Arabidopsis thaliana: one gene and its partners. The protein of the gene in region 1 interacts with the protein of each later gene in a pairwise test. Each region holds a gene or a part of one and is shown on either strand. Other genes may lie near its edges.

Region 1 (8,322 bases):
ATGTGATCAAGAATAGTATTATTTAGGCTTTGGAAAAATATTGTGGATAAAGCGAAATAAACCGTTAGCGGACTAAACACCTTATTTTTGAGAAGACAATAAATAACAGTAGAGCAAGTATATTTATACGTAAGAGCGCTCCATATTTAATCCACTGTGAATATATTTTAATATTTTTAATCTTTTTTTTCCCCTCAAAGTTTCTTTTCATTAGTACGAAGGTCTGAAACATACATAAGCTTAATCAGTAGACTTTCTACTTACAAGTAGAAGACTATCACTGATACATAACAACTTAATATTTTTAATCTACGCATTACTGTAAATTAATAATGGTAAAATGGAAAATCTTAATTATAAATGGATTTGGCCGAAAACACATCAGTTCGTTTTATCTGCTAAACCACTTAAATTTTCATTTTTTCAAAATATAAATATAGACATGTAGTTTGTTGGTATTCGTGTTTGGACAAAACTTGGATAATAGAGAAACTTGGATAACAAGAGAAGGAACAACATATAACGAGGCAATCCAAAGAAAAACATATCTAGTTAATACTCCATGATTAAAGTTTTCAATGTAACAATTATGAGCGTAGTTTACGAGGAAGAAAGGGTTCAAACTACAAAAAATGTACTCTTTAAAACATGGATGCACAAATGTCCCTAACTGCCACATTCATGTTTTTTTAACATACAGTATTATATTATTTTTTAATTTTTTTTTGTTAAAATGATTCTTAATACACAATTCACAATAAAACAGATTGTATAGTATAATGTACAAGATTTATAAGCAAATATAACCCATATAATTTATTTATGAGTATGTAACATATTTTTAAAAAAATTCTATCAAAAGCTACGGTCATTGAACAAGATCTATGTGACATAGATCAACTAACAAAAAAAACATTTTTCTTCCTTGTGTCATTTTAGTTCACGTGGCTCGAGGATAGCTCTTTGTAAAAGATCTCTCTGTTTAAGGAAATACTGAATGACACGCACTCTCACAACGCGTGAGCCACCTTGACGTAATTCATAGCACTAAAGAAGAACTTATAACTAATCATATATGTACTTAATTGTATCCAAAGATTACAAAGGGACATTAGTGTTACTACAAACTAATTTTAGATATAAGTGTTAAAAATAAAAAATAAAAAAATTGTAGTGATCAATCAGCCATTGATGGTCATCATTAACTTTGTCGTTTTGAACGAGATGGAGAAAATAAAAACATTTCATATCGTCATATCGATGACCATCATTAAATAGTTCAGATATAATTAAACATACCAACTCGGCAAAATATTTTGTTAGTTCCATTTAGATCTGTTATTCGTTTAGATTCGATTCAAAAACTTTTGACATCTGTAGTTTTATGAAACAAATTGAATATTAAAAATTAATATCATATAACCCATCTAGTAAAAAATTGATTTCCGTTTTGCTCTCGTATATATATACATATGTATATAGCTAATTCCATTATAATTTACTTTATATATTTAACTTTTATAAATTTTGTTCATCAAATTAATTATTTATTTAACTACTAGTTTTAAAAGTTAACGAAATATTTTTAATAAAATTTTGCTATTTTGAATTTATTTTTTGAGTTTTTTTTATATGTTTTTCATTTTTTATAGTTATTTTTAGTTATATATTAAGCAAATACTTCTGATTTTAACGGATATATGATGAGTTACGGAACGAATACATATCAGATAACTAAGAGCATATCACAAATACCACCAAAATCGAGGATATTCATTCCCTAACTCATCCCTAGTATACATAACAAACATTTTGGAAAAAATAAGGGTAAACGAGATCGTTGAATGACTAGGGTTCAAGGTTTTTCACTATAATCTTAATTTTATTGATAAATGTTATTTCTTTTTTCTTAACAATTTAAAATTGTATTATTTCGAAAAGTATTTATGAAGTATTTAAACAACAACAAATTCTAACTTATCAATAACAAAATTTGATTTGAATTGTAATGGTTTGCTATTGTACCATTTTGGCCTACTTTGCTGTAGGTTTTAAATAGAAATATGAACTTAGAAGAAACCCCTATAAACTTATTACCCTCCCATATAGTTTAATCTTATCAATAAAGGGTTCGAGGTTGCATTTTTTGGGGATAACGACCAAAATCAACCCCAACTATTTTGATGCGGTCTTTTTTTAATTCAAATTTTGGTCATCTGTATTTATCAACCTAGACTTACATAATTTTTAAATAACAAACTGAACTGTGTAACATATACATGTTAATGTCGATTTGAATTGTTAAGTTAAAATTATCACTTATTTTGTATCTAAATCATTCCTTTTATTTAATTGGCTAACGATTAATATTAATTTATAATGAATATATGTTGAAATTGGCTAACGGTTACATAACTCAGATTTATTATTTGAAAATTGTGTGAGTTCGGATTGATAAATGCATGTAATCAAAATTTAGGTAGGAAAAAACCGCATAGAAATAATTGAGATTGATTTTGACCGTTCGTATTGATGTAATCAAAATTCCATGATTATCGATAGATCAAGCTGATTGCATAACATGAAGAAGAAGAAAACTTCCACTGAAAAGCAACTTGCTTGTTTTAGTTTTGAACTACCAAAAAACATTCAACTGTTCACAAGTTCTGTTGTAAAACAACTATTGTTGATTTCGGTTCAAGATCACGTTGTAATCGATAATTAAGATCATAACATTGTAATCAAATATAGTACATCTCTAGCATTTCTTTCATGCCTCCGGATCTGTGAGGAATTCCTTTTTAAAAATTTACTGAAATAGTCATTTCTTCATAGTAGTAATTAAAATTTTAACTTATTCATCATAGAGATAAAACGGTTGTCAATTACAATTAAAACCTAGACGATACTTAGCTAGTAATTACAAATTACACATAACGAGAGATAACTAGTTAACTACTAATATAACAACTGCATCATTAATCACTAGCGAAGCATAGTTGTGAACATACGAGTACGAAAGAGAGAGAGAGAGGAAAGAGCTTTAATCCCGAGCGACACCGGCGTAAGAGCTAGTTCAGACGTAGCTCAAGAGAAGCGCAAGGGCGAACTTCCGATTGGCCATACTTCCAGATGGCACCACTACCACCGTTGATGTGATCTTCACCGTGCATAGGGAAGAGAGGAAGCGTACGTCGATGTTCCAGATAAGCATCGCCACCACATTCTTCTTCTTCTTGATGACCTTCTAGACCAAACAGAGGCTTTGCTCTATCGAAGAAGTTGTAAGGTGCAGATGAGTAATGATGATCCATGTTTGCCCATCCTCCACCTACGTTGTTGTAATTCATAGAACAGTCTTGTTCCTTCACCCAAAAATTTCAGTTTCATTAAATTTCTATTCATATATGTAGTATAAATATTATTTGAATTAATGAATTATAGTTTGGTACGTACCATAGATCCATAGACATGGCTACTCATGTAGCCATTAGAAGCATTAACAACACCACATTCAGTACCTGAGCTTGCATGATTTAAATTCCCTTCAAACATATTAATATACGTATCATCAGTGATCATATATGTTGTGATTCCAGAATCCAGACCATACTATATACAGGGGAAAAGAATGAAGAAAGAGACATAAAATTAGTGATTTTTTTTCTACTAACCCAAATCCCTAATTGTGTTACAAGTCACAAATGAAAATAAAATGCACGTGAGTCTAGTTTCCATTACACAACAAAGAAACCGTTCTTTAGATGCAAATTTGGTTTGCCCCAATCAAGATCCATAACTTCAAATATACGTCATTACATGTACATAACATCTTCTTGGGTTTAATTATTTTTACTAATTCATGTAATAATAGATGGTGTGTAACATGTTCCTATAATATATATTTTAGATTTTTAAATCAAAACCATCTGAATAAATTCATAAATCAACAGCATTTTTTAAAATCTTTTTAACAATTAACATATACATATATCTATCAAAGTCATATATGTAGATCTTGTTAGTTTTTTTTTTTTTGTGTGTGCTAATTCATGTAATAGCTAGTGGTGTAAATGGTTCTCTTAGTAATTATAAAAAACCACCTGAATAAATTCATAAAAAAGCATGTATAAGAGAGATTAGTCACCGTTATTGAAGCTGGGATATGGCTTGTTATGATGATAGAGATGATGGTCTTGGTTAAGTTTAACGTTGACGGAATTAGCAGGTCTCTGCATGGGAACACCGTGATGATGGTGAAGTAGAGGATGATAATGATCGTTAGCCGCCATCATAACCGAGTTGGGTGATGAAGATGGTGTGGTCATGTTTGTTCCGTTGAATCTCTTCTTCTGACGCTCACGAGCCTTATGGTTCTGGAACCAGTAAAAGACGTTCTTGCCCTCAATCTTTCCGAACTGTCTCAGCCTTGCAGTGATCTTCTGGATCTGATCGGCTGTTGGTGACCGGATTGCATTGTTGTAGTAAAGTTCTTTGAGGATTTTGATTTGCTCCGTCGTCGGTGTCCACCTCGTGCTGGTCTGGCGACACGTGTAACCACCAGAGCCGGACTTGTTGTTGTTGTTGTTGCCGCTTTCTTGGTCGGCTTGATGATGATGATGCTGATGCTGTGGCGGCTCCATGTGTGTTTGATTCGACTTTTGTTCACAAAGTTAACGGTAAATAAGATCAAGACTTAGAGAGGAACAAGAGAAAGAGAAGTTTGAAGTTAGCAAGAAAACAACTTGCTGGTAGTAAAGAGATTTTAGGTTTTGTGTGAGAGAGAAGATTATATATATATAGAGAGATAGTAAGGTATTGAGTTATATATATAAATGGGGACCCAAAAAGAAGGTTTTACAATATTCTAGAAAATCAGTTATTCACTATATTATTCTTTTATGCATGTAGATATGATTTCATACATACAAAACCCTATTGAAAAATGTGCTTGGATATAAGAAATAAATTTTGCCAAAGAAAAGGATATAAGAAAGAAAAATAATCAATTGAATTAACATTCAAATAAAATGTTATGTTTAGGAAGGAAATTCTCTTGTCAAATATATTATTTGATTTTTTTTTATTCAGAGGAAAAATCGAAACTACTCTTGAGAGTTTTAGTGAGAATAATAATAATTTTTATGAAAAAATTTGTGGGGGATCGAATCAGAGGATATCTGGTGGAGAAGGATTGAAAGGGACAGAGAAGTTAGAAATAAACATGAAAATGGAAAGGGACAAAGGAGGGAATTAGAAAGGTGAGGGCATCATCGGTATTTACTTAGACGAAAAACAAACTCTCTTTTTTCAATTTCTCTGTCTCTTCACAATTATTACTTCACCAGCTTTAATTGTTATGTATCTGTCTACGTATGAAAGATATTTACCCATACACACAGAAAACAAAACAAAAATTCTAAAAGATCGTTATGAATTATTGTATCGTAGGAATGAAAGAAAACGATTATAATTTTTTTCTAGAATGAATAATAAAAAAAGTGAAAACCGTTTGATCATAAAAATACATTTTTCCTTCCTTATGGTCATGAGTCATGACACATAGGTGATATAGGATATTTTTCGTGGTGATATCGTCCGGAAATGTGTTGAAGAAATACTCTATATAATTTTACTTATGCTTTGCTTTAAAAGATATTAAAATTTATGTCAATTACAATGTGTGAAACGAGTGTGAAGACAGGTGTACTTATGAACATGTTGAGTATTCTTTAGTTAATTATATGCTCGAATTTATAGGAGCATGGATGGATCTTTTTGTATAAATGCGTGATTTATTCATTTTTTTTAAAAAGTTTGAAGGGCTTTGTTTTAGTGAATATGACTTTTGTAATTGAAAAGGAACAATACCCAACTTTTGTATAGTCTTATTGTTCTACGTAACAGCCACATATTGTATATAAAAGATATATAAAGATTTTTTTAGGAATCTACAAATTTCATAGAAGCTATTATAGTTTTTATGGGGAATGGCCCTGAAGATACGGCTGATAAAATATTTATTTTTTTTAAAATAAAAAACCAAAGATCCGATCACTGAAGTTGCTTGGCTATTTCATAGTATAGTTTTGTTTATATAGCCCCCATGATTTCTCGGATTCAACACAACGTGCAAAGAGTATCGGAAAATTAAAAATAGGTTTTACAAACTAACTATTGTAACTATTAATATTTGGAAAACAATCTAAGGATTGAAGTCTTAAAAAATTTTTTTTGTTAAAAGGTTAAGTCTTATAATCTTTTATCACCTAAATAAACTCAGTTGTATCCCAAATTTTTGTTGGTAAAGAAAGTATTTAGTTAGACTGGTGGATTACTCATTTTTTAACTTTAGTCGATTATATTGGATAAACTTTTGGATTCCATCCAATCGATATATCCGATTTGTAATGTCGTTTGGCATTTCTATCGAATCAACGGTCCAATATTTTTATCCAACTAGGAGATTACACCAAGTCACCAAACTATAAACTAACTAACAAATGATAAAATCATATCTCTAGTTGGATTGTGAATGTCTTTTGACAAGAAACAAAGAATGTCTTGTTACTCTACATGCGTATGCAGTGTATATATAGATGTACACTCCATGAGGATTATACTTCTTCACTATAATAAAGCATAAAGTTTGAAGTTAAAAAAAAAAAAAAAGATGTACACAAGCAACTACATGAACATATGGTCACATTTACATACTGGTTTTTTTTTTTGGTAAAACTTTACGTAGTGGTTGCTACTTAGAATACTCTCTATAGGCCCTTTGATTTATAAACTCCTATGAGTACGTACGGTAACGAGCATGCAGTGAGAAACAGGGGATCTTAATTTACGCATCACGATCTTTTTCATTGTCGTAAAGTACTGTTGAAGAGGCAGAGGGCTAAAAGACGCAGAGCTTTTGTAACTAATGTCTACGTGGCCCCTAAAGCCACTCTTCTTTATTGCAGAGATTTCATTTTCATTTAGGGCATCATTAGTTTCAGTTTGTACTTTTGCCCTAATTTCATGAAAACGTTTATAATTAGCTTTTATTATTTTGGTTTCCCGGAAATTAATGGGGGAAAATTGGGTTTGGAACATGGTCCCCTCTACGATCCGAGCCTTATATTCAGTCTGTCATATGTTATTCGCTATTTACACCTTACGTTACACTGTTTATATGTTTAGAGCATTTATTGAATTTTTAATTAGTTCATCAACGTACAACATTAGTGTTTGAGCTTTCAATATTCGTCAATCGTCATGACTTGATTGTAAGAAATTTTCCAGATATTATGCCAATTTATATTTAATTTATAGACGAAGGTAGTTTGTATGTTATTTTCAACCTAAGATCTTGTAAATATAAATCGACTAGATTTTAACCCGCGATATAACGCGGGACGATTTATTTTTTAAAGGTAATATATATTAAAACTTGCTAATTTTATTTTTATAAAATATTTATATTTTACAGTTTATAATTGTTATTAAGTAACACTATACCACGAATACATTAGACAATTGTTAAAAAACTGAAGTTTTTAACTCTTATCAAAACAACATATTAATAAAATTTTATAAATATTCTAAATATTGATTAAAATACATCTACCATATAACCCAATTCCAAAATAAAACCCGTTCTGTAATTTCTTTACCCGTCCCTTGATTTTTTTTAAAGTAGTAATTTTTAAAATTTAAGAATTATTTATTATATATATAAGTTTTGAAAATTTTATCATTCTCTAATACATTTATATTTTATACTTTAATTTTATATATAGTAACATTATACATACCACATAACATTTTTAGTTTTATATACTCTTTTCTAAATTAGGATGATTTGATATGTTTAATATTAGTGGTCTTAAAAAAAAAAAGATTAAAGATTTAACCCGTATTGAAACGGTGGATTAATTATATTTTACTTTTTTATTAATGTTGATTCAAAAACCCGTCCCTCCAGATCCGTCTTGCCAAAAAGCCATTTATTTTATTAATATTAATTTTATTTATGATATGACTCTAAATTATAATCTAAACATTTTAGCTAATAACATAGGAGTGCACCATATTTATTTAATAAGGAATGTACCATATGACCCGAATGCACTTTAACCCAAATCCACCTAAAAGTCTTGCAAAAATACTATAAAGATAAGAAAAGATAGTCGGTTTTGATAGGTATAAGATTAGCAAATATATTAGTTAGCTTAAATTAGTTAAAGAATACAAATTGAAAAGGTATATTACACTTTATTCGAATATAGTATAAAAACTTCTATAACACAGAGATTTGATAATTTTTTAATTGTT
Region 2 (8,270 bases), on another chromosome or scaffold:
TAGAAGCTGCAAAAGCTACGATTACACTTTGTTTTATTAGTCTTCGTGATTGGAATCGGATTCTGAATCCGAGTTTGTTTCTGAAACGGGGCTACCATTTGCTATTTCTCCTAGTCGTGGTGCATCCTCGTTGACTGTTGGAACAACACAGCAAGTACAAATAAAATAGTCAGTTCAATACCCTGATAGCAAAGTATTACACTAAAGATAGAAAATTAGAGTTCCGAAACAAACCTGATCCCAAGATTTTGGCAATCATTGCTCGGACAAACCGTATTTCTCCTTGGTGTGACCTAACGACCTTCACCTGCAGTTTTTTGTTTTGTTTTAAAGCGTTAGTTAAAAGTGACTGAAGAATAAGGGAGTTCAAAAGAAAGCAATCGTGTACCATTTCCCCATATACACCATCCACAAGTTGGTCCACTCTAGCTTGGTGTCGTAAGAGGAAAGGACGGATCTGGTTGTTGTATATCTGTTTTGATCCCTGTTGTCGGCAAATAAGAATATAGAGAATATCAGAACTGATGAGTACCACGGGTTAAAGCTGCCTACTCGTTAGATGATGGTTTAAAGAGATTCCGATAGGTACCTCAACAGTTGGGAGTTGAAGCCAGACGAGGAACGCAAACTTCACATGATAGTACAGCGGGAACCTGCAAATAATCGAGGTTATTGAGTATCAATACTTTGCGAGTTTATCGAGATAATCAAGCCATTTCTCTCGATAAAGTCCATTAGAAGAAATATCTTATTTGTCTAACATAACAGCAAAACCATCAAGATATTGTATATAGTTTCAAGATGTCAATCATACCAGGAAATGATCTTGTCCGTGAACACTTCAACAAGGCTGAAAGAACCATAAGCTGCAAAGAAGGTGAAGATAGAGAAAAAACCCCATCAAATTCCATGTGAAAGAAGGCCAAGGGAGATTGAAAAAAAACTATTGAAGATAAACAGTCAAAGAATAAGGAAAGCAATTAGAAAGGTCATAACAATTGCAGTAACAATATCCCACCTGCCCAGTAAATAAGCATCTTTTGTTGTTCATTCTCATCTCCACTCTCAATTGCCTTGAAGGTAGAGTACACAGGCAAACCGATGCCAATGGAGCAGCTGCAGGAAACAAGTTTCAGACATACCACACAAACGTGTCCTTTATAACCGAATCCTTTAGTCAACTACAGCTATAACACCTTCTAATAGAGAAAATAACCAAAAACTCGGATAAAACAAAAAGAATCCAGATTCCCCAACAATAGATTGACCCTTGTCCAAAAGATACCCTAAAGTATCACAACAAGTAGAATAGAACCCTTGTCCACTCGGCTAAGTTAATAACTATGTCAACAAAAAAAAAAAAAAAAAAAAAAACTCCCTCCCTACCCCATTGCTTCACATGTAATGAGAATCACTCAATCAGATCACAATCTCACCAATCAAATCATTCCTCCAATTCATTCGTCTACCTGTACCATTGATTCTAGCAACTATATGGCTTTCTTCACCTTACAATAAAAAAAACTCACCATGCTGTACGAAGTACGATATTGGAACTAAGTGGAGAGAACAATACACGCAACCCAACCTGAAAATTCCATTGAGAAAAACAATTGTTTCTCTCAATCCAAAAGTTGAGAATATCCACATGATCAGGAATTGAAACACCTCTTTCTCTAATCGGCTTTTGTCAAAGAGTAATCCAAACAAAAAAACAATCCAGTACAGAAGAAATCTGAATTCCAACAAGGCAGAAGATGAAGGAATCCTAAATATACATATTTAATCATAAACTTTATCACGAATCCCCAAATCACGGATCGGAACAAAAGCCGTACAATCGGAAACATCAATCAAACTAAAGGAAGATTACCTCGCCGGTGAGTCCAGATCCAAGAAGCGCCATGGATGGAATCTGTGAAGCAAACCCGCTCATCGGCGATTCGTACGACGGTTTTACCAAATTGACGACGAACTCGCACACTCGCAAAAAAAAGGTCACTTGTGTTTTGAATAGAGGAGATTATGAATCATTAAAAGACTCTAGCTCATACAGAGACTCTTCGTAAGAAATATTTTTATTTCTTTATTTGAAAGATAAACAGCAAAAAGAAAAGAGATATTAAAGGCGGTAAATACAATTATTCTATTCTATATCATATTGTTAAACCAAACCCGGTTTATCTAAAACCGCCAAGCTGATGTGGCAACAAGTGCTCTTCCATGCCAGCACAGCACCAATTCTCCTTGTCGTTTCGCCACGTGGAATCCTCTAACTTGCGCTTTCTCCAATAAACACTCAGCTTGAAAGTCGGCGAACTGGCTTAGCTGTATCGGCCTCATCCCGGCGGCGCAAAACGCTTCCCGCCAAGTCATTTCGCCGGTGTGTCTCCTGTCAGCCGCCGTTTCTACCGCAGCGGAGATCTTCGGTCGTAGAACGAACGCTTCCACTATCTTCTTCACCAAATCTCCGGGAGGAGCTGCAGCGTCGAGCGACTCCAGCACCATCGTGTAGAACTCAAGAGCGCTAACAAACTCTCGCCGGAATGATCCAGATCCGGCGATCTCCGTCCATCCTTCACTATCCACGAATACAACGACCTTAGGTGATACTCTCCGTAAATTGTTAACAAAATCAGTGATTCCACTTAGACGACGAAATATCGCCGGGGAAATCAAAACGACGGTCCTCTCCCCCTCAACAAACCTAATCGCTTTGAAAGATAACATCTCAAAAGTCTTCATCAGCACAAACTCAATCTGGAAACGAATTTTCATCTCCGCCGCGAATTGAGTTAGGTTTTCTTTCACTAGTCGCGTCTCTACGGCGCACTCCTCCGCCACCACTGCCGTAACTCTTAAAAATCCACCGCTTACAGATTTCTCAGTGATTTCTCTCATAAGCGATGCGTATTGGCCACCGAATCCAATCTCAAAATCCACCACGTGAACAAACGGAGAAGACGACTGCGAGCTCAACGAATCGAGTATCGCTTGATTCGCCGTGAAATGAGAGAAGAGAGGGATCGGAGAAATCCCGGAATATTCCTTAATCGCTCGGATCCTCTGAACAATCTCGGACCAAGAAGATAACCGGATTGGATTCCGGTTTGATCCGGTTAAAAACGAACCGAGAGCTTCCTTAAAGTAAAACGCAGCTCTCTGTAACGGTCTACCCGCCGGAGATCTCAAGCGTTGATTAAGCCGTGATAAAACCACCTGAGCGAGTTGTAACTCGTCCGATTCAACACAATCCACGACTCGGATGAGATCTTCAATGAAATCAAATCCTCCATTGTCGACACTATCAAGAGAATTAAAACCGTACCCAGTTGTTTGGTTCTGACCAGGATAAACATCGGAAGACGATTCGAAATCCGACGGTTGAATCTGATCGGGAAAGCCAGGGAGATTTGAATCGACGGCGTAAAGAGGCAAAATAGTAGAATCTGTTGTGGTTGTGGTGAAACCGGTTTTAAGTGAGTTAGGAGCAGAATCGTCATCAAGCTCCAATTCTTTCATGATGGAATCCCAATCCATTGAACGCATGACATGTTCGTCCATTGATAAGTGATTACTATCAGTACTATTAGTGTTGTTGTTGTTGTTGGTCGTGTCTTGAGGAGATGATGCAGGGATTTTCATGTGTTGTGTGTTAAGAAGAAAGAAAGGTGGAGCCTTTAACGAAAAGAAAAAAAGTTTTTTTCTTTCTGTCTTTTTTCTTTGTGTGTGGGAGAAGAAGAAGGTGGCGGGGCTTTTGAAAGGTGAGAGTGGTAAGCTTTTTATCTTTGAGTGAGTGCGTGCAAATAAAGAGATTTCAACTTTGGTAACCGTGTCTGATCCGGGTTTGTTTGGTTTTACAGAATAATATTTATACACGAAACAATCTGATTGACAATGATTTGTATATGATTCCGTTTTTTATTAATAACATACTATTTCACATGAAATTCAACTGAAAGATTTTAAATCAGTTTTTATTTTGTATTAATTTCTCATAATATATCTCCAAAACTATATACTATGCACAACTAGCAACTTCTGTAGCTAATGAAAAGGAAACTTCTACAGCTCTTTAAAGGGATAAAATACAAATAAAGTTCCTCTGCTTTAAAAATAAAAATAAATCATTTGATTGAAAAGAGATCCAAGCTCCACTATGTTGATCATCAAGAATGTGAAAGTTGAAAATAAAAGAGAAAAAGGATGTTTTAAAAAGGTTAATGATTTCTCTCTTTTTTTTGTCTGAGTGGTTTTTTTTCAGTCTTTTTCATCCTAAAATTTTAAACAGTATTTTACAAAAACATTTAACTGAAAGTTTTTTTTTATTACATATGACAATTTAAGTGATCAAAAATAATCTTTCTCAAACATAGCAGCACGGCTATATGTAACTATGTTGTACCTGAGTTTGAGATCAGCGTTAAAATATTTCATATTTGTGGATATTGTTTTCGATCATTAAATCTCATACGTTTTTGACCCAAGTATGGAGATAAATAAAAAACTATGAATCTGCGTTGATTATTCCAATAGGCAATAGGTATATCAACGTTTGGAATTTTTTTTTAAAAGTAGTTTGTGTTGGACAAAAATATTCTTACTAAACAAACTCTACAACGTCGTTTTTATTCTCACTAAACCTAGTTGTTAGTACCACACAAAATACAATATTATGTATTTATTTAGTACCGTGCATATATCACATAATAATCTCAAACTAGTTACAAAAGCTAGAGAGGTTTATTCGATTGATAACCAATAAAAAAGGGGAAAATTGCATGAAACAATTTGAGTCGATGATGTTTAACGGACACTAATCCCCGCTGCTTGCGACAAAAAACAAAGGAAAGGAAAAAGGGAGTGACCACTGGGCTTTATGTGGAGCCCACATAACACGGTAAAAAGCAGGGGGAAAGTAAGCGGGTCCACAATGGGCTAACTTTTGAGGTAATAATGTCGGAGAAAATGACCGAGAAGCCCATGGGCCAGAGATTGACTGATCATTAAGTCAGCGCGTAAGAATCACGCCCACTTCTTTCTTTTGCTTAGCCCCCCACTCTTCTCTCTAACTCGCAAAGGAAAAAGAAAGAATATGTTCTCTCCTTCACTTATTGCTTTCATTTTCATGGAAATTTACCTTCCTTTTTTGTTTTCTTTCTTTTCTATTTGGTTTGGTGTACCAGAATGCAAAACCATTTCCTCAATCTTTTGAATATACTCTCTTTTTTTTTTCCTTGTGTAATTAGGAATGTTTGATCATATTAGGTTAATAACTCACCATTTTCGCAAAATATGGCCTAGTTTGCGAAATTTAAACATCATATAGTTCTCGTGAAGAAAAGCTTCTTCTCATTGAGACATTATTCAACCTTTAATATCGTGGAGAAAAGGTTCCTCTCATTAATACACCTTTTTCCTAACATAATTCAACTTTTTTTCTTACATAAGTCTTCATCTGTGTTATATAATTTAGATTTTATGCGGTATAGCGGCTCAATTAACACACTAAAATACTAAAAGTTCTTTTTGTGGCAACTTTTTTTAGTTGTTTCTCATTAAATTAATGATTAAGCCCACATTTCTGTTATGTTTTAAAAATTTAAGAGAAATAATCAAGTTTAATATTCCACCGTATGAACGCCTACATGCAATGGGATCCACTTGTATCCTAATCTCATGCTTAACAACTAGTTAGTTTATTTTCGAGGATCATACATAAAATACCATAATATTATAGTTTATATATGTGGAACATGCAAGAAAAATAATCAATGATTTATCGAACTGAAATCACTCGCCAAATTAGTTGCCTTTTTTTTGTTAGATTGAATTGCCAGTATTTTAAACAAATAATAAAATAATAATAATAATAATAAAATGCCAGTATTAGACCAATGTTTTCATTATGCTCAGAAATTATTTCGTCCACAGACCACCAAAATGTTACGTCTTGTTAGCTTGAAAATCATTACACTATCACTTTTGATTCTCGTTCATACAGCTAATTCCCTGAAAAAATGATGGCCCTATGTGTACAACTATTTTATTTAAATCCATCTGATATTGGGTAACGAACGTTTTAATTATATGCAATACAATTTATGAATGATAATTATTCTGCATATACACTAACGTCTCCAAATATGGCAATATCTTCCCTACACATGATTGGAGTTTGTCGAAAAAGAAAAGAATATTTCATAAATAATGTTGGTAATTAATACAAGTTCTATTTATTAACACACGTGATTGTATATTAAAAACAAATGAATGACGATCATATCTTATATTCCCACTCTGACAATATTCTTTTACTGATCGACCAATGGATCCTCTCGTTACCAAAATTGTCCCACTGCCAAAGGTTTCTTTCTTATTATTCGTTTCTGTGTTGGTAGTTTTATAATATGTATACCGTGATTTATACTAAGTATAATGTCTCATAAACTGTTTTTGATAAAGAAAATTTTAAGTTGTTGTGCTGACTGCTGAGAACCTGTGTAATAATATAATATCGCCAAAACATATTATTCAATTCTCATAAGTTGTTTTTAATTTGAAGGTTATGAATTTGTAAACTTTGTGTGTTTAGTATCCTGTGATTAAAATAAACCAAAATTAAAGACATGATTTGATTATCCAATCTTTTAGTTAACATGTCAAAATTCAACGTAAAATGGTGATATAGTGTTTTGTACAACTATCTGGTAGTAATATTTTTTCTTGATATAATAATTGTAATAAAATCTAAATTTTATAATAGAAAAAGAGACAGTTGTGTATTTTCTTGGGAGATAATTTCTCAAACCCCACTACACAAAAAGGTCATAATACTTAGGAAGTAAGGAAAGGAAGGAGAGGCCGATGATAGACTACACACAGACGCTTCTTCCTTCTAATCAAAAGAGAGAAGCTTCATCCTCACAAAAGCAATTTTTTTTAGTAGATTCCTATTTTATGTCATTCACAATAAATAAAATACTTAAATAGTAAAAATAAAAGATCGTTCTCCATTAAAATATCATTCCCACAAGAATGAAAAGTAGTAACGGAGAAATTGTTTTAACTTTTCATTGTTTATTTTTTTTTCTATAACTATCCGTATGCATACTACAAGAATTTAATCTAAATTTTGGATCGACTGATTGTAGCTATAAATTATTGAGTAAGTATTAAATTAGACCGTTGATATAAAAATATATAAGTATATATGTGTGTTATACTAAGTCGATCGATTGGTAAGTCTCGTAATGATTTAGTAAACATTATTCTATTTGGTGTAGATTTGTTTTTTTTTTTTTTTTTTTTTTGTCAAATGTAAATCATTTAATTTTAATTCAGTTACAATTTTCTAACTAAAATTTTGTTTATGTATTTTCGATACTGTGAATAAAGCTGGTGGTGTAAAAAATAATATTAGCGTAACATTAAATTTATAATTAAGTTAAACAAAAACATTAATATATAATGTACCGACAAAAATTGAAAGTGAAAATAAATGGAGGAGGATGTTCTATTTTGCAACTCATTGAGTAGTCACAACATGCGTTGGAAACTCTTCCCCGTCAAGAATATATTACTTTACACGTTTTTAAAATTATTAATTTACCCCCTTTTAATAATTGATTTTTAGTAAAATGATTGTTCGTGATAAAATATACTTTAAATTTTTGATGAATGGAATCATTCATTGTTTGATCGTTTACATTTAAAAAAAAAAAAATTATACGATCACATCTTTTTTTCTTATATATAGTTTTTAAGATCATATATATGATATATCATCACAACAAATTGATGTCTAGTACGTACCAACAAGTATGCTCTGTTACTTGTAAAGATGATAAAATGCTCTTAGAAACAAAACATTGTACTCTCAAAACAAAATATTTACCATCACTTGATACTGTCAAAACAATTCTTATATACTTAGTACTAGGTATTCGGCTAGCATCTCACTGATTCTAGAGGTCATCTATTTTCTCGAATAAAAAACAAATATAAACTCATCATAAAAAGGATAAATCTGAATTAATTCATTTGTACAAAGTATAGTCTTGGTCTAACAAAACGCAAATTCCCCTATATATGTCTTGCTTATGATGTTTAGGGACTTCACTAATCCATCTTAGCTATAAATAGAAACAATTTTTTATTATAAGTAAATAAGTATTTAGCATGATTGTAGAGCGTAACTTTTTCACTTACACGTAGAGCCAAACATACGAACTGCTTATGACCGTTAAGGTATGATATGATAAGTATTA
Region 3 (8,775 bases), on another chromosome or scaffold:
GATATAGACCAAAGAAAAAAACAGAGGATAAAAAAACCAACACTTTGTTTGCAAACCGATTGGTTGTGCCTACATAAGCCATAATAATCATATCCGCATCTAAGCAAGTTCACGGACAAGAAAAGAAAATGGAATATTTACATTCAATTAAAAGCAAGAACACCAAATTAAGTCATTGACGATCCAAAAGTGTTTTCCCCACTGTAGGTAACATACAAGAAGCCGTCTTCTTCCTTATTCTCATCGTAAATGGTTGACATCATCGCTCCTGCAATTGAGTTTCCAATATAAAAACCAACAGGTTTATGTAAGGACTAAAGAGTTGTTTAAGTAGAGATTGAGAGGAGGAGACAGTACCGGTGGGAGGAAGAACATTATCAACAAAGATGAAGATAGCTTTCTCTGCACTAAGTTGGATTCTCTTACGAATCACATACACAAACTGGCCTACCGTTAGATCAGCTGGGACAAGGTATCTGTAAAATGTAAAATCCAAAACATGAAAATTAAGCAAGAGAGACTCCAATGTTAAGAATCAGATTTGATATTATAAAGAAAAAGAGGATCATACTTCTTCTTGTCAATGTTTGGGATATCACTTTTCTCTGACTTCTCCACAATCACCTATTACAAAAGAGAGACATTAATATAACCATCTTATTCTGAAACTATGCATTGAACTCTCAACAAGAACCACATCTATCTATCAAAAAGTGTTATTTTTGCAAGATTTCAATCAATCAGGCCTCACAAGAGCTTCTCAAATAGGGTATATTCCTATGTGAGCAATATCAGGAAAACTAGGAAACAGAACAAAATCGATGGCAGTGACATAAGAAGAGAGTAAGAATACCGGGACTCTGTCAGAATACTTCTCTCTGATCCTTAAAGCCTCAGCTTTCCTCTTCTCTGCAATATAAATCAATCATCAACCAATCATACTAACTTAAATTACTGGAAAAAAGAAGAAGAAGATTTATATACCGAAATCATGATCCTGCCTGAAGCTGACGTTACTCATCTTCTTTTGATTCCTGAATATATATAACAAATTTCCAGAATCACCAACCCAAATAAGAAGAAAAGAAAAACGATAATTTACCAAATCCCAACACAAAACCCTAATTTTTCTACTACCCAAGTCGTAATACACTTATCTCTGTATATTCTTGTAGAAATCAAACATAAATTATATGCATAAACGAAATCAAATCGGAGAAAACTTACCTCTCTGGATTATGCGACTTGGTTAAGATCAAAAACTTTGGATTCGACTTTGTGTGATTCAATTAATCTTCGACTGCGATCGTCACAGTTATATGTGTATATATACAATTCGTGTAACCTTTTCCTTTTTTGTTTACCGAAAGATTATCGAATTAGTGAATGACACGTCAGCTGATAATTTAATTTAATCAATGCAAACCAAAAATCGAGGTAAATTAGCATGATTTAAGGAAATGTTTAAGTGATGTTGTTACCAAATACAATTGTAGTGGTTATTTATGCACTAAGGCCCATAACTAGTTAATAATAACTCATTACTCTATGAAGCCCATTATAAGTCTTCCGTATATTTGTTTTCATAGAAGATAAGAAACCCAGCCCAACGTTTTTTTTTTTTTTGGTGGTTCAGCTGAGATCAAACCAGCAGGACATATCTAAACCAGAAGTTTTTTCTGTATTAAAAGGTCAATAACTAAAGTTTAAGGACAAAAAATCTACATTGTTGAATGTTGATCATTCAAATTTGTAAGATCGTATACTTAAAATATAGTTTTAAGAGATTGTATATCATAATCCTTGACTTCAAATCAACGATGGATCAAAACTAGCTTTTTTTTATTGAACTTTTAATAGTCAACAGAATTGAAAACTGATTTATGATAGTCATTAAGATTCTAGCACAATATCCACACTAGTTCCAGGCTCGTAGCTTACGTAACGTAACCTATATGGTTATCATATACTTTTGAGGAACTCTCCCAGTAATTAAGTCATTGAAAACCAGTAGTGCCATGCGGCGGTAGGACTTTTTCGTCTAATTGTTTTTTGTAGGTTAACAATGGTTCAAACACTAATAATTTATATAGTTTCACCAAACAATTAAAGATAATACTACATGGTTGTGTTGGTTGTTGTATTGACAAATTATAAGTTCATACAATCTATCACTATCTTTACTTTTTCTTTTGTTTCCGCCGTCACTGTATCTATCCGCTAAGCGAGACAAATTTTTATCGTTTGTGTTGTAATGTGTCTCCTAAATATATAGTTGATCTAATTAATAATATATAAACCAACCAAAATGTGACATGCTTTGTTATGAATAAGAAAAAGTTACATTGTCCTTGTTTAGTGTTTGTGATTTGATTAAGATATTATGATATGACATGATTCACATAAGTTAACCCCACTAGCATTCCTGAACATAAAAATTGAAAACTTTAAATAAAGAGAAAACAGAAAGCTTTGCCCGTGAGTCGAGGTTAGCAAAGGAGACTATATACCGTCTATTTTGAGGACTTTAAGTTTATTTTGGGAAATTAGCAAATCTAAAAACATAGTGGAAGTGAATTGCAAATATGACATTTGACATAAACTGAGATAATTTGGTTACAGGGTTAATATATTTCTACATCGAAGTTAATTTTTTTACTTGTTTTATATCACTGTAACCAAATTACATGAATTTCCGTGAAACCGAATCACGAGTATGTATGCAAGGTAACACACGGTCGATGTGTCCCTCCACTAGCCAGTCATCAACCTATAGAATGTATAGAATGAGTTGATTAAATTACGCAAATTGGTCATTTTTTAATCCTAAAATATAACAACAAAGCAGAAAGAAATACTAGTTTAATAGAATACATGTTGTTAGACATATTACAAGGTGGTGGAAATTCACATGGAGGTTTCTTGTTTGTCTTGGAGGAAAAAAAACATGTCTCCCATTATTACAATGTCCAATTACAAAGATTTTTGTTTTTATATTATTTTGGCTTAAAAAATAGAAATATGTTTAGGGCAATCACATAAGCCATGTCTCCCTTCCATTCACACACAAACTACCAAAAGTTCCAACTTGTCTTCGCAATCCAGCTCCACCTCTTTTCTTTTTAATCTCCTTTTGGTATCCTCTATTCTATTACCGCCACCAATAAACGGCCACTTAAGTATTTCAAGTTTGTCAAAGAAGTGAAAAAAAGAAGAAGAAATGATATAGATGATTTTAGAAAAGAATGGTGGAATAAAACGATTTGATTATCGCAAACACGTGTAAACATCAACTAACATAGGCTAAAGATTTGTCATAATTTTAGTTTTGACCGTGTCTACTTGTCGTTCAAAATTAAACTTGATTAGCAAATGCAAGATTTTATAGTCAATATGTCATTTATTAGTTAGTTTATAAAAAATCTAGACTAGAGCCATGAGATCTTCTCCAGAGTTCATGCAATTTCAACCGTTAGATAAAAAAAAAAAACAGAGTGTGTTAATAGAAAGCAAGGGTAATTATGGAAAACAATGATTAACAATAAAGCCATCTGTATCAAATTCGCTTTTTGCTCTGAAACCTCGGTATATGTTTTTGATTTTTTTAATAGTACTGTCTTTCAGATTGATCGTTATCTAACGCGCCTCAACAGTTCTGGACTATTGAATTACTTACTGTAAGACAATCAACTAATAACTGACTCTTTTAGGTTTTTGGGTTTCGACAATTCAATTTATTTTCTTTCTTTTCTTCATACTCCTATTACTTATTTAGTTTGATCTAATGAATTATACACTATATGATCCCATATTCTTAATAAATAAGTAAATAATTTTGACTATTTTAAGTATTTTTACGATTTCGCTCTCAAAATGTTTTTTACCTGTAATTTCAAAAATAAATTTGACACATCCTTTTTTTTTTGTCAAACATTTGACACATCCTTTAAGTAAACAAATCTATTGGTTTGAAGAAAAAAGAACAAAAATCTTTTGGTTCATTTTCATTTGACCCTTGACTTAGTTTTTATACATATATAATGAAGTATATTTTTACTATCATACTATTTAATATAAAACATGTTACTGCACATATATATTAAATCACCCAATTGCTATTTCACTAAATAACAAATTATTTTACAAGATGCAAGTTTATTTTATAAATCGAACAAAATTTACGAAAAATGTAGAATAGTAATTTTGTCGATATGCATAAAATTTATTGGTTTCCTTGTTTTTTTTTTCCTCAATCCAGTGTTTTCCTTATTTATTATGTTGTCATCATAGTAATTTAGTCAATTTATGATTAAGGCTAAATTTATTCGATTAATGACACTTTGATTTCGATTTTCATGGCTTAAACTTATATAATCAATGATCTCTTGGAGAGTAAGAGTGACGCGCCGTAAGTGCGAGTAGGGTTAGAAACGAGGGGATATAAAATGAGTACAGATGTAGATAAGTAAATCTACAGACACAAGGCACCACACACACAGCAAAAACCAAATCCTTTACTTAAAAAAAAAAAAAAGAGAGCATTTTTTATGAAGATCATCACTTTGGAATGTTGTTGGAATCATCCAGAGTCAATATACATAAGCAACGAGAAGAAAGATTGTTATTAATACCGAGTGTGAGATAATGTGGGCGCCAATTTCAGTTTCAAGCTTTCATCTTCGTCTTCCTCTTTAAGTTCTGAGATCTAGGGTTTTTCTGGGTTTCTTTGTTCTCACTCTTAAATTCTCTTTCTGACTCTGTAAGATTGGTCATGCCCCTGCCCTTTGAGCAATTTCAAGGGAAGGGGGTTCTGGGTTTCTTAGATTCTTCTTCTTCTCCGGGATACAAAATCTGGGCTAATCCAGAGAAGCTCCATGGACGAGTAGAAGAAGATCTCTGCTTTGTTGTCAACAATGGTGGTTTCTCGGAGCCGACGTCTGTTTTAGACTCTGTTAGAAGTCCAAGCCCTTTCGTCTCTTCTTCAACCACCACGCTGTCTTCTTCTCACGGTGGTCCCAGCGGCGGCGGCGCTGCTGCTGCTACTTTTTCCGGCGCCGATGGGAAATGCGACCAAATGGGTTTCGAGGATCTCGATGGTGTTCTCTCCGGTGGCTCGCCGGGACAAGAACAGAGTATTTTTAGATTAATCATGGCTGGCGATGTAGTGGATCCGGGTTCGGAGTTTGTGGGTTTCGACATCGGTTCTGGATCCGACCCGGTTATTGATAATCCTAATCCACTCTTTGGATATGGCTTCCCTTTTCAAAACGCACCGGAAGAAGAAAAGTTTCAGATTTCAATAAACCCAAATCCGGGTTTCTTCTCGGATCCTCCGTCGTCTCCTCCTGCGAAACGGCTCAATTCGGGTCAACCCGGATCTCAACACCTCCAGTGGGTTTTCCCGTTCTCGGATCCGGGTCACGAATCTCACGACCCGTTTCTCACACCGCCAAAGATAGCCGGAGAAGACCAAAACGACCAAGACCAGTCAGCGGTAATCATCGACCAGCTATTCTCTGCGGCGGCGGAGCTCACCACAAACGGCGGAGATAACAATCCCGTTCTCGCGCAAGGGATATTGGCGCGGCTCAATCACAACCTTAACAACAACAACGACGACACTAACAACAATCCTAAACCTCCGTTCCACAGAGCAGCTTCGTATATAACAGAAGCTCTTCACTCTCTCCTTCAAGACTCATCATTATCACCACCGTCTCTCTCACCTCCTCAAAACCTAATCTTTCGGATCGCAGCTTACAGAGCTTTCTCAGAAACGTCACCGTTTCTTCAATTCGTCAACTTCACAGCAAACCAAACGATTCTCGAGTCATTCGAAGGGTTTGATCGGATCCACATTGTCGATTTCGATATCGGTTATGGAGGTCAATGGGCGTCTCTGATTCAAGAGCTCGCCGGAAAAAGAAACAGATCTTCATCAGCTCCGTCGCTAAAGATTACAGCTTTCGCTTCTCCTTCAACTGTCTCCGACGAATTCGAGCTCCGATTCACTGAAGAAAATCTCAGAAGCTTCGCCGGCGAAACAGGTGTCTCCTTCGAAATCGAGCTCTTAAACATGGAGATTCTCTTGAATCCAACTTATTGGCCACTGTCTTTATTCCGATCATCGGAGAAAGAAGCAATCGCTGTGAATCTCCCAATCAGCTCCATGGTCTCCGGTTACCTCCCATTGATACTTCGTTTCCTCAAGCAAATCTCACCAAACGTCGTCGTTTGCTCAGACAGAAGCTGCGACCGTAACAACGACGCGCCGTTCCCTAACGGTGTGATTAACGCGCTTCAGTACTACACATCTCTGCTCGAGTCTCTCGACTCTGGGAATCTGAATAATGCGGAAGCTGCTACGAGTATTGAGAGGTTTTGTGTGCAACCGTCGATACAGAAACTGTTGACGAATCGTTACCGTTGGATGGAGAGATCACCGCCGTGGAGAAGCTTATTTGGGCAATGTGGGTTTACTCCTGTGACGCTGAGTCAGACGGCGGAGACACAAGCGGAGTATTTGTTGCAGAGGAATCCAATGAGAGGGTTTCACTTGGAGAAGAGACAGTCTTCGTCGCCTTCACTTGTCTTGTGTTGGCAGAGGAAAGAACTTGTTACTGTCTCAGCTTGGAAATGTTAAGACGAAAAAGGAGGATATTTTCACGGTTTAATTTTCTTTTTGTAGCTTTTCAATTTGGGTTAGATCACGTTTTAATATGTTTGATTGTGATGTTAACCAATCAAATGATATATATATAATCTCCTTATGTTAGTCTTTCTTTTTTTTCCTTTTTATATTTCTGCATACTGAGATATGGATCCTTTAATACTTCATTTTTTAAGAGACAGAAGATTTGACATGTAATATGTTATAGGTACTAAAGATTAAGAGGTTTCTCAAAAAAAAAAAAAAAAAACTAAAACTTAAGCTGCCTTACACAAATTTCATTTTTCTCTTGGAAGGTCGACTATACTAAATTCGTAGTTCTTTATTCAAATACTAAGCATAGTAGTAATCCTTAACCTTAATCTAACAAACGAACACTGATAAATAAGAGATTTGTGGAGAAAGCTCTAAACCAATGCAAAAAAACTCAATCAGATCCTCAAAATGTCTTGGAATTCGAACGTGTAACCAAGAGGGTAACCAGGAGGGTCTTTGGCAGTAGCAGCGTTTATAAGTTTAGTCTTGCATTTTGGAAGTTTTTCCATGAAGATAGTAATTCCACAAGCTCTTAATAACCGGATCGGTCTTTTGAAATCGATGTCCCCCGTGATGACCATGATGTTGCAAGGAGTTTGGAAATTGGATGTGATGATATTGGCTTGTGCTGGCAAATCATCCGGCGATGTCGTGTTTACTCTCATACCTAACTTTAAAAACAAAACAAAAAGATGTAAATGATTATTGTATGCGTTTGTGAAAGTGAATCAACATAATCTTAAACAGTGGAGAAAGCTCATCAAAATAGAGTTCAAAACCACAACAGTAAATAAACATCATTTATAAATCATATTTGTACAACGATCCCGACTAACAATTTCATACACCTTAACACACAGAGCAGGCAAATAAAATATCAAACCTAAATTTCAATTACTTGTACGGGTCAAAACAGGTCACAAATACTAATTAGCAAGTATTTGCCTTGTAACGAGTCCTACACATATTTACGAAGCAAAAACTGTCATTTTTACTCACAGTGTCCCCATATAAAAATGTGGAGGTGAGTGTACCTCAAACAATTGTTTTGTGTTCTCTATATCCCACAGTACATGGAAACATAGTTTTCTAAAAATTATTATTAAAAAAATGATATTTCAGGGAATAATTTTCTTTTTAGCTTTTTAATTTAGATAATATCATGTTTTAATATGTTTGAGTGTAATGTTAACCAATCAGATAATATATATATAATTTCCTTATGTTATTCTTACTTTTTCCTTTTTTATTTTTCTGCATATTGAAATATGTTTCCTTTACCTTTATTATGGAGTATATTTTATCATTTTCCTTGAAATGTTTGTTAGAGACATACAATTTACCATGTGTTAATTAGGTCTACTAAAAATTTAAGCTAATGGTAAACAAACTTCATATTACTAAACTATGTATTAACTTGTGTTTTGGGGTTAATGTTGTAAACGATGAGATAACTTGTGTTTAAAGACTTTTTACCTTTTTAGTATAGTAAAGAGATTGCGTAATACGAGTTTTGTCCGTGTAATCAATCACATGGTCCTCGCAGAATTGCTGCTTAGATTTGATATTATCATAATACGACCACTTTATTACTTATTAATCAACCACTTTAGTAAGATTCTGCAGTGAAATTGTGAAAGTATAACATTTGTTTATTGTATTGGATAACAAAATCCACCCATGTCTTTCCTCTTCCCAATCATTTCTTAATTTTCGCCTCTTTATTAGTATCATTGATATTTGATTATTCATTTACATAGTTTCCTTTTTTCATTTCAGATTTTTTTTATAATTGCACTCTAAAAAGTCTGCTTGGGAACAACGCTTTCATTAACATCCCCACATGATTTTAGGCCTTTTTCCTTTAATCCATTATCTGGAAAACAGGAGGAAATTATTTTGGAAAGTAAATCAAGAATGAATCTCTAAATCAATTACCAAACGCCGCCGTTCCATTACCGGTCAGGCAAGACAGACCAACGGTCCGAGAATTCGCCTAACGAACCAGTTTACTCGCATTTAACCAAAAATTGCATACCGGTTCAATCAAACAACAGAACAGACCAATC
Region 4 (8,282 bases), on another chromosome or scaffold:
TAGATAAAATATAGAGAAATTTTCAATATCATGTAAAACCATCCCCGATAACCAAAACCGATGTAAATCGTTATTTGGAAAAACATTTTTACAACCCCGACGTAAACAAGACTCACTGTGAATTTATAAGACTTGCTATGGTCGTGAGTCAGAGGATCCACTGGTGATATATAATTAATCTCCATAGAAACTAGTAAGTCTTATAGATTATTCTACAAACATAGAGAATCCGTCGGTCTTGTTTATTATTTGCTAAGTTTATTCTCTGCTTTATGAAATTATTTTCTCATTCTTTTCTTTACTCCAATGAACCATTGTACTTTTCAGCTTTCTTGACTTTTTTTTTTTTTTTTTTGGCTATTGATGGTTCAGTGGATTAAAGAAAACAATTTTAAGTACAATGTTGCCAAGAAGAATCAAAGAGAAAACACTTGGTTTAAGTAAGAGTATAACAATAACAGACAATTAAAGAAGAATCATATGCATATAGGAGACAAATCATTATTCTCATCATCGTAGATAACATGGACAGGTTTATCGACAAAGTCGTTGTCTTGAACGTAACAATCTCGATCATAAGTAGGCTTCTCCACGAAATTGTTGACATGAACGTGACAATTCCTCGTGAAATCATCCCCAAATCCGGCTCTTTGTTTCACATTCTTCAAACGATTAGACACCGAACTCGTGTAATGAGGAGGTAAAAAAGTTTTGCATAGCTTCTCCTTAAGTTTATCCCATGATTTAATAGGATTCTTGCCAGCTCGCTTGCGTGTTTTCTGCTTTTGTTGCCACCATGATGCGGCTTGCCCTCAAAATTTCTTAATCACAAGCGAAACAAATAGATCATCCGAAACGTTTTGAAACTCCAAAATTTCTTCAATCTTCACAAGCCAATCTAGTAACGAATCACTAGAGATTCCACCATGGAGCTTGGGAATATCAAACTTAAAATTGGTCGCTCATCTCATGTCTTTCACAGACATCGCTGCAAGGGAATCAAACCACTAGGAACGACGTGGCTCTGATACCAACTGATAGAAAGCGGAAGCTAAATAACAGACAAAAACGCAAGATTTTCAGGAAAATTCAGATTCACGAACGGATCTTTTTTAGAACGTCAAAACTTGACAAAGAGGCAATAGGATAGGGTCGAGATCGGTAGCGATATCGACGAGGTTTAAAAAGTCATCCTTGCAAGGTTTGAACACAAGCTTTTAAGGTTGAGAGTCCTCCTCTCTAGGCTTTATACAAAGCTCTCTTAAAACTCTTTATTCAATAATCAATAGCTAATTCATTCTACAACGTAAGGTAAGAATCATAAACAAAACCTTAATTCTTAAAAGAAGTTAAAAGCCCAATAGGTAAAGCCTATCTCTTTAATAAAATCCATAAACTACTAAATCATGAATGAGAAACAATAAAGAGGTTTGGTCACGACGAGGCCCATCGAAGGCGTGAACAAAGCAAAGATGCGTTGCATCACCCATGGAGGGACTTTCTCCGTTAGAAATGCTCTAAGAGACTTCTGTATTTTGGAGTGTCATTCGATCATAGTAATTTTTTTTTTTTTTTTTGTTGTTGTTGTCGAATCATAGTAATGTGTTGTCAATGATCAAATGAGAGTTAGATTATGTTTAAGGAAATGTATATGATTAAAGAAATAAGGAAATTCCTTTACCAACTTTATATTGTGGTAATTGTTAATTACTTCCCGCCGATCTTGGTTTTTTTTTTTTAATCATAATTATTATTACTTTGGCTCTAATGAGATGAAGAAATCTTCTCTATTTTTCTTTATCCTTATCAGTCCCATGTGATCTCCTAATAATAATTGATCAATTTTTGTCTAATCTAACTAATCATCATCCTAAAATCTAATACAAAATGAACGACGCAATCATTTATATATGGTTACATGCATACAAACTCTAACACGTTATCCTTCAATATAAATTATTGTTTGACAAGATTAATATATTTAGCTGACTTGTTTCTTCCTCTAATTATGGCAAAGCACGATTCTGTTCATCATACGAACTATCCGATTGAGTGGGGTTGGGTGTGTTGCTTGTGATGAAGGGTGCCTTGAGACGAGAGAAAAGAACATGTTTTCACCACGTAACTTACTTCACCCTCACGAAGTTAACACACACATATATTTAGTATTCCAATATACCAAATATTATATTAATATATCATGAAACTTGAAAATGTGTTGGTGTATTATGTATGTCAATAAGAAATAATATTAATACAGTTTCGCGATCATTTCAAGATTTATAATAATTTTGTATAAGAAAGAAAAGTGTGAGAAGTAGTTGTTAGCAAATCACATGGGAACATATAAACTAATTAAATCTTAAAAATGAACATTTTAACTTTTTGTTGTTATATAAAGTAAGTTAACTATCAATAATCATCAAATATTTATGGTACTTAACAAGTATTATAATATGGGACTAAAAATTACTATACAAGAAACTGAACTCTGTGTTTTTTTGTGCGGTCATAATTCGCATATAAAAGATAGATTCAGAATCTGATATTGTTTATACTTTTTTTTTTTTCTTTGATATTGTTTATACTAATGAATTGGTTTGCATAGAAAAGTAAATGCTTTTTCATTATCATGAATACATGATAATGAAACTGTCGCCATTCATTGCAAAATTGGTCCGATTTTAATCTGTCTTCATCAATTACCCACCTCTCTTTCTTGTTGTTTTTTCTGATTGCTTTATTCATTTATTTATTATAGGGTTTTCCATTGGTAGATATATTTATATATGTATATATATGGTGATTGGTGACTTCCATTGTCTGCTCAATAAAGGACTACCACTCGTTCTTTCTCAATCTCTCGTGCATTTAACTTGTCACAGAAGAAACATCATTCACAGATCTTCAATCACTTTTTTCCTTCAAACGAAAAGATGTACCAAAGAAAGTATGTTTTTATATACACGTAAATATATATATAACTCCTTCTTTGTTATAAGTAGTACATGAATGTTTCAGATAATGACGATCATTCGTATCTCGTTAAGTTAAAACAAGAAAAACAAAACAGATATTTTTGATGTAACTCCAATATATACATAGTTTTTGTTTCCACTTTGTTTAGATTTATAAATTTAGATTATGTCCGTAGCAAAAAAAAAAAAAAAAAGGAAACACAAATTAATATAAGCACTGCAATATGTGGTTTAGCTCGTACAATGGATTGGGTGATTTGAGTGGTTAATTTGATAAAGATGATCCAAAAGCTTGTCCAAACCCTAAAACAAACTATTGGGGACAAAGATCACACAAAAGGAAATAACGACAGCACCTTTGAGATAAAACAAAACAAAACAATATCCCAAATATAGTTTGCAAGCCACAAAGTTTTAATCATGAAAATAAATTATAAGAAAACAAAAACATTCCCAATATATTATGACATCCTTTTTTTTTTTTGGGCAAGTATTATGACATCTAAATATACAGTACAACATCAAAAATATGGGGAAAATGTTTTTTTTTTTTAATAGTTTCTAGTAATTCAAGAAGACAAATACAATATTTAAAAATATATCATAACATTTAGTATTTTTGTTTACCATCATGTTCATGTCACTGAAAGGAGTTTGCAAGCCACGCGCGTGATGTAAGAGTGGGGTTGTAATAGAAGACATAGTTAAGATTAGAAAGCAAAGATTAACAAAATGTTGTGTAAGAGAAGCTGATGAATTGTTTAATCAGCTAAGTTAATGACAAAGGCAAAATGATAGGAAACGGAAATAAGAGAGAAAAAGAAAGGAGGAAGCCCACTTTGCCACTTTAATATCTTGCACGCATCCAATATACCTCACCACACCACATCACAACAACGAAGAAGAAGAAGAAGAAGAAGAGCTTCAAGAAGACAAATACACTATTTTTTATCGTCTGCAATGCCCTTACCCTTTGAAGAGTTTCAAGGGAAGGGGATTTCTTGTTTCTCTTCTTTCTCGTCTTCCTTCCCCCAACCACCGTCGTCTCCGCTTTTGAGCCACCGCAAAGCAAGAGGCGGCGAAGAAGAAGAGGAAGAAGTTCCCGCGGCGGAGCCTACCTCTGTTCTGGACTCCCTCATAAGCCCAACCTCTTCCTCCACGGTGTCTTCCTCTCACGGCGGAAACAGCGCCGTCGGAGGCGGCGGCGACGCCACCACCGATGAGCAATGCGGAGCCATTGGGTTGGGTGATTGGGAGGAGCAAGTTCCTCATGACCACGAACAGAGCATTCTCGGACTCATCATGGGAGATTCCACAGATCCCTCTCTTGAACTCAACAGCATTCTCCAAACATCTCCCACCTTCCACGACTCTGACTACTCATCACCCGGTTTCGGAGTCGTCGACACCGGCTTCGGTTTAGACCACCACTCTGTTCCGCCGTCACATGTTTCCGGTCTTCTGATCAACCAAAGTCAAACCCACTACACACAGAATCCTGCGGCTATCTTCTACGGCCACCACCACCATACACCTCCGCCGGCAAAGCGGCTCAACCCTGGTCCCGTGGGGATAACAGAGCAGCTGGTTAAGGCAGCAGAGGTCATAGAGAGCGACACGTGTCTAGCTCAGGGGATATTGGCGCGGCTCAATCAACAGCTCTCTTCTCCCGTCGGGAAGCCATTAGAAAGAGCAGCTTTTTACTTCAAAGAAGCTCTCAATAATCTCCTTCACAACGTCTCCCAAACCCTAAACCCTTATTCCCTCATCTTCAAGATCGCTGCTTACAAATCCTTCTCAGAGATCTCTCCCGTTCTTCAGTTCGCCAACTTTACCTCCAACCAAGCCCTCTTAGAGTCCTTCCATGGCTTCCACCGTCTCCACATCATCGACTTCGATATCGGCTACGGTGGCCAATGGGCTTCCCTCATGCAAGAGCTTGTTCTCCGCGACAACGCCGCTCCTCTCTCCCTCAAGATCACCGTTTTCGCTTCTCCGGCGAACCACGACCAGCTCGAACTTGGCTTCACTCAAGACAACCTCAAGCACTTCGCCTCTGAGATCAACATCTCCCTTGACATCCAAGTTTTGAGCTTAGACCTCCTCGGCTCCATCTCGTGGCCTAACTCGTCGGAGAAAGAAGCTGTCGCCGTTAACATCTCCGCCGCGTCCTTCTCGCACCTCCCTTTGGTCCTCCGTTTCGTGAAGCATCTATCTCCGACGATCATCGTCTGCTCCGACAGAGGATGCGAGAGGACGGATCTGCCCTTCTCTCAACAGCTCGCCCACTCGCTGCACTCACACACCGCTCTCTTCGAATCCCTCGACGCCGTCAACGCCAACCTCGACGCAATGCAGAAGATCGAGAGGTTTCTTATACAGCCGGAGATAGAGAAGCTGGTGTTGGATCGTAGCCGTCCGATAGAAAGGCCGATGATGACGTGGCAAGCGATGTTTCTACAGATGGGTTTCTCACCGGTGACGCACAGTAACTTCACGGAGTCTCAAGCCGAGTGTTTAGTCCAACGGACGCCAGTGAGAGGCTTTCACGTCGAGAAGAAACATAACTCACTTCTCCTATGTTGGCAAAGGACAGAACTCGTCGGAGTTTCAGCATGGAGATGTCGCTCCTCCTGATTTCCACCGGAGTTTCAATTATTAAAAAAATATTTTCCTTAATTCAATTTATCTTAAATGACAAATTTTTAGTTTCTGATTTTATTTTGCTCAGTGCGATGGATTTTTAAATTTAAGTTTCACACAAATATATAAATTTTTGTGAGAAGTTAATTAATTGTCTGATTATCAAACACTTATTGTATAACACATTCAATATATATTAATTGTGGGGATTATTTTTGATCGACTAAATAACGTGATAGAATAATGCTTGGATTAGCTCAATACTATATTTTTCTAATTAAAAATGAATGGGGTGTTGATTTTGATGCGAGGCAGAAAGCTACTGCTCATTATTGTGATTATATGATTATATAATGGTTAGAGTTTGTTGTGGTTTGTGTCTTTGCGAGGGGTCTATTTTTAATTTATAAACATATGTCTCCATGATGTCACATGGGTCTTGTATTATTTTATTTATTTGGACCACAATACATTTTTGTGTGCGCCGTTTCTAACCTTTTTTTTTCTCCGACGAAACAAAGGTTTGCTTTTTCTCCTTTAAATGGTCCATACGCATTACATATATAATGCGCCCATTTGCTTTACGCATTAACTGCATTTCTCTATAGAAATATTTCAGAAACAAACCAAGTGTATACAATACATCAACATGTTTTTTTTGGGGTTTTAATGTGAAGATTTCATTTCAATAAAAAGATTACAAGCTAATCTAAGTAATACAAACCAACATATTTTGGTTTACTCTTTATATTAAAACATCATTTAGGATAATTATTTAAAATATATATTCAAACATCTAAGGTCCTAATTAAGCATTACAAAAGATTTCCGTTTTAGAAACATATCAAGAGTTGATTAAATGGAGAAAGACGACTAAAATTTGTGAGTGAAAAATGACAATATGCCGCAAGTTATTGTCTCTTGTGCAATAAACGTTGGTTGGATACAGACACATTTGATTGAATGTGAATAGTTTAGTTTTGACAGATCATAAGCCGTGTCCTCAAGCAGAAGACCGGTCGTGATCGGTCAATCTACACGTGTACGGCAGAAACACATGTGTCGTTTCCCTGTGAGAGATGATCAACCAAATCAACGGTCAGTTTTTGTCAACTAATGTGTGTATTGATTTGTAACATGCCTACGTGAACATAAGCTAGTCACGCAACAAGCAAGGCCTGGGTCACGCAGGCTCGGCTCCACTAAGACGCGCCGACGTAGTCACTCATCATATATCACATGTCTAGATTCAAATGGTAACCGTTTGATGAGCGCAGTAAGTAGAAACATTGACCGGTCCAGGCGAGGTCTAGCAAATACTATTAGAATTAAAATTGATGTAATCAATCACTGATAAATACTATTAGAACTACTCTACTTTACACTCACGTATTCCATCATTTAATATACATACGTGAGTGTAAAGTATTTCTTCACAATTTATTTTTGAAAATAGCTTTTAACCCATAGCAAATGCCTATGTTGCCATGGGGTAGACGGGACTGATCACACATCGAAGCATACTCTTGATAATATATGGACAGGGAAATACATATTAGAAAGCTATCAAACTTTCTCTTCCTTTTTTTTTTGTTTGCTGGGTTTCATCTTTCACTATATTGTATGTGTGACATGTCATTAAGAAATGAATAACAACAGGCTATTCATTGCTTTTTTCTATTCATTGCTTACAAAAAGTAAAATGATGATAAAATACGCAGCTTTTGGTGTTATTTGTCCTTCAACTAATTGAGTTATCATTTTTCTTTTACTCCTTTTAGACACCGCATATGTACTTTTGTCTCAAAGAAGACTCTCCTAGGAGTTAGGAAGATTTTGATTTTGTTATAATCAGACTTTAACTCACATCTGTCTTCCATCATCCCACTGTTTTTCAAGTATTTTATTATTAGTTGTTAAAAACTTCTACGTCCAAAATCTCAATCACTACGAGTATTGCAATGTTGATATTGTGCGTTAAATGTATATGTATATAATTCCAAATTTCCAACAATTGGTTTATAAACGATGGCACTAACATAACCTCATATATTGTGATACAACGAAAGGCACCGGATGGTGGAACGCATCACGCATCATGCATCCTCGATCCCTTTTCAAAGTGGTATGTAAGAGATCATTATTTCAACATAACATACATTTGCTATGATGACGCATTTTAGTCAAATTAGTTGTTTGTTCAATCATATTAATAAGGGTCAACAGATATTTATACGAACTGTAATTAAAATGATAAAATCCAAAGCGACAAGTTTGCTACTACCAAATGTGTGTTTAATATATATAATTTAGAAACATTGAATTTGAGAAAATGAGTATACGGTTGCACAAAAGAAGAAGAAGAAGAGGAGTATACCAACAAAAGGTTGTACGTAATATAATTCCGACCCCCTAAAAAGATATATAATAAGGTGGAGAGCGAGGGATCTGAAATTGATGGGTGTGTTTTTGTGTGCATAACAAAAGTTAAAAATGTATTTATATTATTTTTAATTTTAAAATTCTTTTCTTACTTGTGTTTATTTATTAGTTAAATAAATAATTTAATGAGAGAAGCTTTTGATACAATTTTTACTCTCTTTCAATCTCCATCTCAACTTTTGTAGATGCCAAGCTTGCCCACCATATCTGCTCCTCAAC

The links.
Region 2: the proteins of WUS (region 1) and HAM4 interact in a two-hybrid assay, tested with the Arabidopsis thaliana proteins (one study listed by BioGRID).
Region 3: the proteins of WUS (region 1) and HAM2 interact in a two-hybrid assay, tested with the Arabidopsis thaliana proteins (one study listed by BioGRID).
Region 4: the proteins of WUS (region 1) and HAM3 interact in a two-hybrid assay, tested with the Arabidopsis thaliana proteins (one study listed by BioGRID).

The regions. Positions count from the first base shown.
Region 1 is NC_003071.7:7,806,029-7,814,350, forward strand, and holds WUS (Homeodomain-like superfamily protein), read right to left. Parts: upstream 4,784-8,322; 5' UTR 4,644-4,783; coding exon 4,148-4,643; intron 3,546-4,147; coding exon 3,457-3,545; intron 3,366-3,456; coding exon 3,072-3,365; 3' UTR 2,843-3,071; downstream 1-2,842. Other genes in the region: AT2G17960 (uncharacterized protein), read right to left, coding at 6,352-6,426, 6,811-7,101. UniProt on the Arabidopsis thaliana protein: Transcription factor that plays a central role during early embryogenesis, oogenesis and flowering, probably by regulating expression of specific genes. Required to specify stem cell identity in meristems, such as shoot apical meristem (SAM).
Region 2 is NC_003075.7:17,301,435-17,309,704, reverse strand, and holds HAM4 (GRAS family transcription factor), read right to left. Parts: upstream 3,948-8,270; 5' UTR 3,646-3,947; coding exon 2,185-3,645; 3' UTR 2,057-2,184; downstream 1-2,056. Other genes in the region: HVA22K (HVA22-like protein K), read right to left, coding at 37-134, 235-307, 389-484, 590-653, 815-866, 1,019-1,116, 1,530-1,588, 1,874-1,936.
Region 3 is NC_003074.8:22,408,364-22,417,138, reverse strand, and holds HAM2 (GRAS family transcription factor), read left to right. Parts: upstream 1-4,475; 5' UTR 4,476-4,771; coding exon 4,772-6,643; 3' UTR 6,644-6,899; downstream 6,900-8,775. Other genes in the region: ATG8G (Ubiquitin-like superfamily protein), read right to left, coding at 168-268, 358-476, 572-624, 854-909, 985-1,021.
Region 4 is NC_003075.7:54,762-63,043, reverse strand, and holds HAM3 (GRAS family transcription factor), read left to right. Parts: upstream 1-3,548; 5' UTR 3,549-3,938; coding exon 3,939-5,615; 3' UTR 5,616-5,904; downstream 5,905-8,282. UniProt on the Arabidopsis thaliana protein: Probable transcription factor involved in plant development.